Arabidopsis thaliana: one gene and its partners. The protein of the gene in region 3 interacts with the protein of the main gene of each other region in a pairwise test. Each region holds a gene or a part of one and is shown on either strand. Other genes may lie near its edges.

The links.
Region 1: the proteins of ABF3 (region 3) and SNRK2.3 interact in a protein complementation assay, tested with the Arabidopsis thaliana proteins (one study listed by BioGRID).
Region 2: the proteins of ABF3 (region 3) and SNRK2.2 interact in a protein complementation assay, tested with the Arabidopsis thaliana proteins (2 studies listed by BioGRID, with this or other methods).

What each region holds. Positions count from the first base shown.
Region 1 is NC_003076.8:26,708,701-26,712,300, reverse strand, and holds the start of SNRK2.3 (sucrose nonfermenting 1(SNF1)-related protein kinase 2.3), read right to left. Parts: upstream 2,000-3,600; 5' UTR 1,967-1,999; intron 1,882-1,966; 5' UTR 1,605-1,881; coding exon 1,431-1,604; exon of another isoform or gene 1,094-1,430; coding exon 1,019-1,093; intron 926-1,018; coding exon 824-925; intron 751-823; coding exon 697-750; intron 597-696; coding exon 504-596; intron 391-503; coding exon 298-390; intron 217-297; coding exon 112-216; intron 36-111; coding exon 1-35. UniProt on the Arabidopsis thaliana protein: Together with SRK2D, key component and activator of the abscisic acid (ABA) signaling pathway that regulates numerous ABA responses, such as seed germination, Pro accumulation, root growth inhibition, dormancy and seedling growth, and, to a lesser extent, stomatal closure.
Region 2 is NC_003074.8:18,742,348-18,746,180, forward strand, and holds the start of SNRK2.2 (SNF1-related protein kinase 2.2), read right to left. Parts: upstream 1,811-3,833; 5' UTR 1,558-1,810; coding exon 1,381-1,557; intron 1,151-1,380; coding exon 1,076-1,150; intron 977-1,075; coding exon 875-976; intron 799-874; coding exon 745-798; intron 650-744; coding exon 536-649; intron 348-535; coding exon 255-347; intron 136-254; coding exon 31-135; intron 1-30. Other genes in the region: LBD28 (LOB domain-containing protein 28), read right to left, coding at 2,655-3,251. UniProt on the Arabidopsis thaliana protein: Together with SRK2I, key component and activator of the abscisic acid (ABA) signaling pathway that regulates numerous ABA responses, such as seed germination, Pro accumulation, root growth inhibition, dormancy and seedling growth, and, to a lesser extent, stomatal closure.
Region 3 is NC_003075.7:16,293,616-16,297,448, reverse strand, and holds the start of ABF3 (abscisic acid responsive elements-binding factor 3), read right to left. Parts: upstream 2,116-3,833; 5' UTR 1,442-2,115; coding exon 554-1,441; intron 402-553; coding exon 108-401; intron 23-107; coding exon 1-22. UniProt on the Arabidopsis thaliana protein: Binds to the ABA-responsive element (ABRE). Mediates stress-responsive ABA signaling.

The DNA of each region.
Region 1 (3,600 bases), on a different chromosome or scaffold from region 3:
TCATCAGGGATTGAGTATTTAACGCTAAGGATTCTCTGTGTTTCAGAATCATTAAGAGAATAAGAGGAACATCAAGAGATGAACAAAAGGAACAACGTTTTAAGCGGTTACCTGTATTGTTTTCCGATAGTCTCTTGGCTCTTCTGGATCTTCGAACGGATACGCTCCAACCAACATGACGTATAAGGTCACACCACATGACCATACATCTGCAATCTGGTAACCGTAACACTCAATGATTGGCTATTCATCCTTAGAAATACAGAGATTACAGAGGAATTCTCTAAAAGCCTTTACCTTGCCATCATATTCCTGACGAAGCAGTACCTCTGGAGCGATGTATGCAGGAGTACCAACAGTTGACTTTGGTTGTGAATGAAGAACAGAAGACTGTCAAAAAGAAATGCATAAGCAAACACTTTAAAAACACATTTGAACATGACAATGGAGGAACCACAAGTGTATAGTTTCTGATACCAAAAGAACAAAATCATTTGTGATACCTTTGAATATCCAAAATCACAAATTTTTAATCGAGGAGCAGGACTTCCATCCAACAATGTATTCTCTAGCTTCAGGTCACGATGGCAAATTTGCTTCACAGCACATGAAAAAAAGTAGAGTATTAACAACAAGTTAGAAAAAAACAAGAATACAACCAGTCCATAGGCTCCATGAAACAGATTCTCTACATACCATCGAATGACAATAACTGACTCCAGATAGAAGCTGCTGAAAGAAGAACCGAGCCTGTTTACAAGAAGAGATCAAACCATAAGGAAACCGGAGACCTGTAAACCCGATAAGAGAACCAAATACAAACCTCATCTTCACTAAACCGTCCTGCATTGCAAATCCGCTCGTAAAGTTCACCGCCAGAAGCATATTCCATTATGATAGCCAGATGAGTCGGCGTCAAAATGACCTATCCTCAAGTACAAGAAACAGAGTTTAAAAGAGTCACTGGCTTAACAAATTCCAAAAAGACAAGTACTGAAGAAAAGTGTATAAATTTTACCTCTTTAAATCTGACAATATTAGGATGCCTTAGTGACCTGTGGTTAATGATCTCCCTTTGAACATTTTCATCAATCTGCAACTCCCATAGTTACAAGTCATTCACAACTGTCCTAATCTACAAAAGCAGAACACTCAAAACCAACTAAAAAAATCATTTCAATATCCAAAATTTCACATAAATCACAAATTAAAATCATCATTCAAGTGTTAGGAAGCTCACATCTTTAAAATCACATTAAAAGCACTCAAAAGCATAATCATCAAAATCTAAAAACGCTAACTTTAAGTACGAAACCAATAAATCTGGAAAGTGAAAGCTAAACCAAACACTAAAAATGAACGATCACTGGACTAAATAAATATCATCAACTTCCAAAAATAGAAAAAGATGAGATTTTTAAAAATGAAACCTTGTCTCCTCTCTCGATGTACTTGACAGCAACAAGCTCTTTAGTGAGTTTATCTCTCATAAGACGAGCAACACCGAAATTACCAGAACCAATATCCTTAACGAAGTCATATCGATCACTGTCGTGCATAATCGGCATATCCAACGGTCCTGTGGTCACCGGAGCTCGATCCATTTCTGATCACAAAAAGAGAAATTCGAATCTAATACCCAGCAGAGAATATGTTGTTGTTGTTGTTGTTAAGTCGCTGGAATCTAGGAAGAAGAAGAAGATTCGAGAAAATAAATGGAAAAATATCTTCAAGAAGAGAACGAATAAGGAAAGAGAGGAAGAAAAAAGGCAATAATTGGTTGCCCCAAGAGATAAGGATTGTCCCAAAACGACAACGTTCAGTTGCTTTGATACGACAAGAGCCGCCGCGTTTTGATGATTGATGTTGCTTCCTAAGAAACTATAACCCAAAAATATTAAAATTAACATGAAATAAAAAAAGAAAAAGCACGACTTCACTCGTCCTTGTCTCCTAAAATACAAACCTTTTTTCTCTAAATTCTCTGTATTTATCCGTTTCGATTTTTTTCTATTTTTCTTCGTTTTTCTCATTTTGAGAATTCGTATCAAACAAATAAATATTTGTGTTAAAAATAAGTAAAAGAAGAAGATATATTCGTTATAAATAACAAGATATTCTAATTAAAAAAAATAGTTTGGAGGAAACAGAAAAACTTAGTTCATAAGGAAAACAGAAGCTTGAAAGTCACGTGCTGCAGAAGCGGCCATGTGATGAAAGAATATTCGGTTGCGTTATTCCGTTACTTGACGGCGTTAGAAATAGACACTGATGACATTGACACTGACGTGGCAACTTCTAAGCATTTTTTAATTTAGTTGATGGGCCTGCCTCTAATTTTTACATAGAAAAGTCCTTTAGGCCAGCCCAATCCCACCATGGATGACATGGACAGTGACGTGACAACTTCTAAGCATTTTTCAATTTAATTGATGGGCCTGGCTCTAATTTTGTTAAAGAAAATGCCTAAAGATATAAGCAAAAGGCCAGCCCAATTACAATATTGATGATTAATTGGATGAATAGCATTTTATCATATTTGCATGAAATATATAGTCAAATCTTAGGTCATTGATTTTGTCGGTCCATATATATATAGAGACACACTTAAATTAGAATCTACTAAGGACTGTTGTATTAAATTGGATGTTGGATTGACCTAGTTAGAAATCTTTATATGGATTTATTGCGACACGAGACATTGATAAGAGTACCGAGGAAGGTACACTAGTGTGACTAGTGTTAGAGATAGCGAGGTGTATGTATAATTTTACTCTTAAGTTAATGAAAAGGAGTGAATGGTGTTTATGGGTAAGTGCGCAATTAATGGGTCAGTGCTTAATTTAATGGCCGATGCTCATCAATTTCACCACCTTCTCTTTATTGCTATACTAAGCATCCTACTGGTGAGATTAATATACTATTATATGCACATGCACATGAACATTAAGTATCCATGTTTCTCATGAATCATTCAGATCAAATATCTAAGCCACACTCACATTGATTTAGCTACTGATTGTTATGATCATCATGGTATGGACAAATGTGTTAAAGTGAATGAAAGTCTAATAATTTAGATTGGTGTGAGTATGTTAACTTAAATGTTACATCTGTTTTTCAGCCGGTTTTGATTCATGCGAATTCGTGAGGATTAAACACATCATGTAATATTGGGAGAGTCTTGAGGGATGGTTTATAAAGATAAAACGGTGATGATATAGAAGAGAGAGCCAAAAATAAATTAGTGAGTGGTCAAAGATTGTTAATAAATGAACCAACACAATCTTAATTGCCAAGCATTCACACTTAACTACTTCTTTAGCTTCATCTAGCTACTTGATGATTATTATATGCGTTTCCTTGTTTATATGTGAAGCACACACTCTCTTTTAAAAAATGATGTAGCCTTTTTGTAATTTGTTTTTCCTTAGCCTTTTTGGTATCATTATGATAATGTTTTCATAAACTAAACTCTTTTTGTTTCTTATTTCGCATTTTAAACTTTAGGTATATATAACAGGATCGATACTTTTCCAGAAACAAAAAAAAATGTAAATGCGGATATACAAAGATAGATTATTCATACTTTTTAATTTA
Region 2 (3,833 bases), on a different chromosome or scaffold from region 3:
GAGACAGCAAGAACAATTGAAAAACATTACTTGTATTGTCTTTCGATAATCTCGTGGCTCCTGTGGATCCTCGAATGGATAAGCTCCAACCAACATTACATATAATGTTACACCGCAAGACCATACATCTGCAAGCTGGAAAAATGTAACACCAGCTATTTCAGAGGACAACTCAAAGAATATTTGTGGTATAAACAGTCATATGGATAAGCTGGTTTGAACTCTAGACAGAGGAATTGGTCTCATGGCCTTACCTTGCCATCATATTCCTGTCGAAGAAGAATCTCTGGTGCAATGTATGCAGGAGTACCAACAGTTGACTTTGGTTGGGAATGAAGAACAGAAGACTGAAGAAAAGAAACGCATAGTTAATACTTGAGCAGAAATCAAAGCGAAAACAGACACTTAGTAGGAAACACATGTAGGTAAAGAGCATGAACGATAAGAAGCACAACGAGGAATCACAAGATGTCCCCCGCTGTTCTGCGCTTGGCCATACAGTAGCATATATAAACTTAGAATTCAGAAAACAAACCTTGAGAGAAATAAATAGTACCTTGGAATAACCAAAATCACATATTTTCAAACGAGGTGCCGGACTTCCATCTAACAATGTATTTTCCAGCTTCAGATCCCGATGGCATATTTGCTTCACAGGAAAATCAAACACAGAATTAAAACCAGAGTGGTATACACGAGAACGAGAAAAGTTCAAGTAAGTTGCAAGAACACTGCTCTGCGTACCATTGCATGACAATAGCTAACTCCAGATATAAGCTGCTGAAAGAAGAACCGAGCCTATACATAAAAAAACTTAAAGATCAGTAGTCACACATCAATACCACAACACAGTACGATAAATCAGAATCCAAACCTCATCTTCACTAAACCGTCCGGCATTACAAATCCGCTCATAAAGTTCTCCACCAGCAGCATATTCCATAACAATAGCCAAATGGGAAGGCGTCAAAATCACCTAAACCATTACAAAAACACACACAAAACAAACTCTAAACCACACTGACTTAATACACAAACACACACAGAAGAAACATCAAGGTGTATTATATTATACCTCTTTAAACCTAACAATATTAGGATGTCTCAATGATCTATGATTGATAATCTCCCTCTGAACATTTTCATCAATCTGCAAAACAACCATAAAAAAAAGTATCATCATTTATTGAGAAATATCAAAACTTTTCAAAAGCATTTAATCATAGTAACAGTAAGTAACCACCATTAAAGACACTAGATCAACAAGCTCTAAAAAGGAAAGCTACTAAATCTGGAAACTAAAAATAATCGATCATCAATCAATCACTAAAGCCTATAAATATCAAATCTTTTTTTCATTCAAAAAAAAAAAGACGAAACCTTTTCTCCTCTCTCGATGTATTTAACAGCAACAAGCTCCTTGGTGACTCTATCGGTCATGAGACGAGCAACGCCGAAATTACCAGAGCCAATATCTTTAACGAAGTCGTAACGATCACTGTCGTGCATAATCGGTAAATCAATCGGCATAATCGGTGAATTAGTCGCCGGATCCATTTTTTCTGATTCTTCTCTTCCTCTATTGCTCTTCCTAATCACATCAGATTAAGTCGAAGAATCTTCTGGAGTAGCTGGAATCTAGAAGAAGAAGAAGGAGAAAAATATCTAAGGAAGGATATGAATTTGGGGGAAAAAGATGGATCAACGACGAATGAGAAAGACAAAGGCAATTATTGGTCGCTCTCTAAGTTAGATAAGAGGAGAGAGATGTTTGCAACGACACCGTTTTCTTTGTTTTAGTTATCTGATTTGATACGACAAAGGCCGCCGCGTTTTGGTGATTTTTTTTTTTTTTTTTTCAAATATTTTTTTTTTTGGTTTTTTTAGGTATCAATATTAATTTTACTGTTCTATATTATCAACACAATTTGGTTGCTCCTAAAATTTGTAATTGAATGAGTACGAATTGTGAGGTGAGTAAATTGTTATGTCTTTCTTAAATTAATTATGTGAATGTCTCATGTATATATGTATTGTTTTACCTTCACTTGTACTTGTTTACTTCCAAAATATCCCAACTTTATGTGGGTGATTGTGGTCGTATTTTGAGCCAAGTCAGAAATTGTTTTTGTCACGAACAAAAAAAAGCTTCTTATAGATCATATAAGACGTTTTCACGTACACAGCAATGTTACATTAACCTTTTTCTAATTTTATAACTCTTGTCTAGTCGTTTGTACATAACTACAAGTGCACCTTTATTATTTTGTTATGGCAGAGTGTAGTTCTACACAAGGTCCTTGTTGAATGTTGGAGTATTTGTAAAAGAAATAATCAAATTGACTAAGGATCCTGATTAGAAATGTTAAGGTTTACGGCTTGAACTGCCGCTGAGTTTATTAACGTAAAGATAGTGATGAGGCAAAAAGTACTTTTTCGAATCTTAAAAACCAAAAAAAGCTCCGTTACCGGGAATCGAACCCGGGTCTCCTGGGTGAAAGCCAGATATCCTAACCGCTGGACGATAACGGATGTTTTGTTAACTAAAAACAATAATTGTATTTATATCTTAATGTAGTTATACAAACGACTAGACAAGACTTAAAAAGATTTTAAAAGCTTACCATTGTTATCAAGATTCAATATGATAATGATTAATGTAGGTTAAAGCATGGTCCAAATTTTTGATAAGAACTTTTGTCACGGTAACTCTCCTCATCGTGCTGCATCTGCGTCTCTTGCATTTGAGCGCTTTGTGTGGATGCAAAACGTTGAGCCTCGTTATACAACTGTTGACCCGTTAAACAACCACCGTTATTAGGTGTGTGTTCCGGTATCATCATAGGATTGTTATGCATTTCCAGATTCGTCATCGAAGGTGGTGGCACAAATGTGGGGACGATACAGTAAGAGGCAAGTTCGTTCTTGACGATCGCGAGTTGTTCTTCCAAGTCTTTAATCTGACTAAGGAGGTTGTAAATGATACCCAGACAGCCATTGACCGGATCATTGGCTTGAACTTGTGCCTCCCAAGCGAGCGTGTCCATGGCAAATTCTCTTTGGCATGGGTGAAGACTGTTGATAAGTGTAGCCACATGGCTTGCTCCAAATACCTTGTGAACCGCTTCGTAGTTGTCCAGTTTAGTCGAGGGGAAGTAAGGCGCAAACACACAATCTTCTGTGCATTTTCTCCTCAGGTGCTTGCATGCCGCGCATGGTGTCGATATTTTGTCCATTTGATGAAACATCATAATCTGTGAAAGAAAGAAAGAAAATGTAATTGTACATTTTTGATCATTTCTAGAATATATACAAAATACATTTAAATATAGGATATATCGAAATACATGATGTAATTTTTTCCTTTTAAACTGAATCAAACAAACATATTTACAGAATCTTTTTCTTAAACACGAAAATCCGAAACATGAAAAAAACAAAAACAAAAGGGAAAATCGTATGCCTAGGTCTATACACGAACTGAAAAAAAAAAATCACAACCTACGAATTTTTATGTGAATTCTAAACAGTAAAGAGATTAAGGTTTCTAAATAATATAGTAATCAGAATAGCCAATCAAAATCGTGGATTGCGTTGTACTGCACTCAAATATGTTAGAGAAGGTGTGAAGATGAAAACACAAACCTCAATGCATAATAAGAAGATGAATCTAATCAAGCGAATATCACCTGATTTCTAAACCCTATATATTAATAGAGATAAAGAATGGATATAAAATGAAATCAAATCGGTATTTATATGAAAATAAAAAAGGAAGATGAATAGAGAGATTCAGTTTTTAACCTAAACACAATGCTTCTTCAAATTCTATT
Region 3 (3,833 bases):
CTTCCAGTTCCATCGTATAAGCCTGTCAAGCAAGAAAGTGAAAAAGTAAATAACATGGTCACAGTTTTAAGGTTTCTTTAATCTCCAAAATTTAAACAAACACTCACTTGCTTGCGAGCGCGGGATCTTGCAGCTGATTCCCTATTCTTTATCATCCTTTTTTGCCTTCTCTCAATCACTTTCTCCAGAACTGCACCTGTTTTTCTCACTCGCCCAAACATGTAAGGAACAGGGGACAAAGATGCATCCAGGGCGCTCTTTGGAGTCAGATCAGGTGACATCTGGCTTCCAGGAGATACTGCTGCAACCGTTACTCCTGTTTTAAAATCGACAGCTTGCAGTAGATTGTTGTTCATAGGATGGTTATGAATTCCAAGTATTGAAGGCTTCACTTCCTGGCACTGCGAAAAAAGTAAAAACAAGTCATGCTCAGATAACTGAAACATACATGCATATCCAAAACCAGCTTATCTTAAAACATGAAGGCTACGTCTAATATTTTTCAGATGATTGTATTTCCTACAAAATGTAGTAGCTTAGGTTCTTTAGTCACCTGTGTTGCAGGTTGAGAACGGTTAACCACATCAACAGTGTTGGAAAATGCTATAGTGGTCTGTTTGGGAAAAGGCCTCTCCTGCGTCTGTATCAGTTGTTGCGGCTGCTGCACCATCTGTGGCTGCTGCACCATCTGTGGCTGCTGCATCTGTAGTGGCTGAGTTTGAGCAGTCAGCAGATCCTGTCTCACCGCTACTCCATTTCCTGACAAATCTTGAGGTTGGTTTGCAACAAACCCATTACTAGCTGTCCCAAGACCTCCATTACTGCCAAATCCATAGAATCCGCCATTGAAGTTAGTTACACTCTCCACCGGTTGAGGTTCTTCCCTAACCACACCAGCCCTGACCAAAAACTCCTCCAAAGTCATCTCTCCCAGCGTTTGTTGCCTCTGCGGAATTCCGCTTGTCCCACCATTAACAACACCATTTCCAATGTCATCCTCCTTCATCAGCTCCTTCCAGACATCATCAACCCTTTTCTGACTAATCGTCCGAGGCAAGGTAAGTGAACCTTGTCTCTGCAAACTCCCACCAGTGAAAAAACCACCACTTTCTCCTCCCACACCAACAGCTAACCCACCAATGTTGTTACCACCGCCGTTAATAACAGTGTTTCCACTATTACCATTGCTGATGTTGGTGTAACTGGTATTGTTTCCCATCATTGAATGACTTTCCTCTGCAGTCCAAATGTTCTTCAAGAGCTCATCCATGTTCATAGACCCAAAATCTTTCCCAATTCCACCACCCCATGAGTTCTGAAACTCATCAAAGGTTAACGAGAACACAGAGTTCTGCCTAGTCAATGGAAGACTAGTCCCCACCGTTGGCTGCTGCTCACTCACACCATCAACAAAGCTCTTGAAGTTTAATCTAGACCCCATTACTCAAGCTTTCGTACAACTAGGAGGATCAAGCTTCTGGATATTTACCTATAAGAAAACAAACAAGCAGAGAGATTATGGTTTAATTATACATACATCCATAAATTCATCAACAAACGAAGAATCTAAAAAAGCACTGATCTTTATCCAGTTTTAAAGTACCAAAATTTAAGAACCAAATCCAAAGCCGTGAGACAAAATCAGATTTTTATCAGTTCCAAAGCTAAACCCAAACAAAAGATCTAAATGAAATATAAGCACAATGAAGTCAAACAGAGCAAATGGTGAAAATGGAAAGGAATCTCCTTTTAATCAGTAAACAAATCTCCAAAACACCCAATCATATGCTTATTATTCAGCGGGAAAAAAAAATCATGATTCTCTTCGAATCAGTGAATCTGAACAAGAAAACCAATCAGTAATAGACAACAAAAATCGATTCATCAAACCAAAAAAAAAAAGAAAGAAAAAAAATGAAGCAGCTCAGTCACACAAACTAACAAAAAAAAAAAGGAAGTTTTTTGTTAATTTTCCTGACCTTCGAATTTATTTTTTTTCTTTGGAAATGGAAAATCAATAATTCCTCTTTGAGAAATAAAAGATACCTGAAAGGGGTCAGAGCGAGAGAGATGGACAAGTGTCCATGGCGTGACACTCGTCGTGATATAAAAGGGTTGGTTTCTTTTGTTTGGATGCGACTATTATTTTATTCTCGATAAGGTTATTATAGTATTATGCCAATTTGACGTCAGATCGTGCGTGAGCCGTAGAGATTGGGCAACGTGGTCCAATTAGAAACGCCGCTTTTTCTTTAAATCATTATCGATACATTTGCGTTTCCCACCAATAAAATTTCGCAAAGTGGAAGCATTTTTGGCCGTTTGATTTCCTAAACGGCGTCGTCGTTTACGAGACCAAGTACTACTACTAGTACTACATCTTGGAACAAATTATCAAAATATTCTTATAACTTTTTTTTAAGGATAGATAACCAATAAAAATTAAAATTGATGCATTCATTAGCAGTATAGTAATGAATACGAGATTCGTTGATCCGTTATTTGAGTAACAATCTAACGTAGTGTTCACTAACACTTACTTAGCTACCTAATAAAATAGGGATCACACTTTCATTTCTTGTAAGTTGATGCACCTATTTGATCGAATGGTATGAAAATTTGGTTGGAAACAAAATAACCAACGTTATTCCATTCAAGGGAGCGCATTATGGAAAAAAAATTATGATACGATAAGATTTGTAAGAAAAAATAAGAAACAAATGGAAGAAGGGAATGGGTGAACAGTCCGGAATCTTTATCACGTTTGCTGCACCTACAAAGGGATGGTCATTTGCCACGTGGCGCACTCAATGCCTGCCCTCTTAACAATATTTAAAAAAGTTGAAATGAAGCAAACATACAATAAAATTATGATCTTGTGTGTTGATCTTCACATGGTGATTGTGATCTTGTCTTCAACTTCTTTATTTTATTACACCATTATTGAGACTTCTTTACATTTGGACTCGGTACAATACAAGTGACCCTTCGTGTCTCCCATCTTTTATTTCTATTTTCAATCTTTTTATATTATTTTTTCTTTAAGAATCTACTGGATTAGGAAAGTCTACTCTGCAATACATACTAGTATTAAACAAATATGGAACCGTGATTTTGTTTAATGTTATCATATAGAATTCACATGGGACTCGACGACTCTTTTGAGACGTGCTCTTTCCCGAATTAGATTTAATTAATTGAAGTTACTTCTTTAAGGTCGTGTAGAAACAAAATGTATAAATTATAACCACCTTTCAAGAATCCAAAACTCAAAACCAACGAAAGTACGAAACTATAACAACCGGAAGAAACAACACACAACCGAAATGCTAAAACGTTGTTAACAAAAACAAGTTTAATGTGTAACTTTTTTTCAGCTAGGCTAAAATCCTAGAAGGTTAAAAGATATATAACCTTTTTTTAACAAAAAAGAGAGAGTTTAATATGTAAGTTGCAACAACAGGGTAAGTTTGAAGAAATTTACTTTTTCTTAATTCCATGGTAAGATAATAACAAAATTACAAAATAATTCTTACAATAACAAAATTAGATCAAAAACCTAAACCACAATAAAGAAAAAGAATGAAACCTTAGTGTCATGCCCATATATATTTATTACTTTCTATGTGTCTAGAAGACCTAAAGTTGTTAAGAGTAGTTGAACTCTTAGAAAGAGGTCCATTGATTGGATCAAAAAGAAGACCTCACGATGCAAATTAAAAAAACAAAAAACAAATAAATTATGATTAGAAGAAAGCTTTGAGGAATGAGTTATGAGGCATAGCATGATGAGGACATTCAGCCCAACATCAACGTTCGGCCCAAACGTCTGC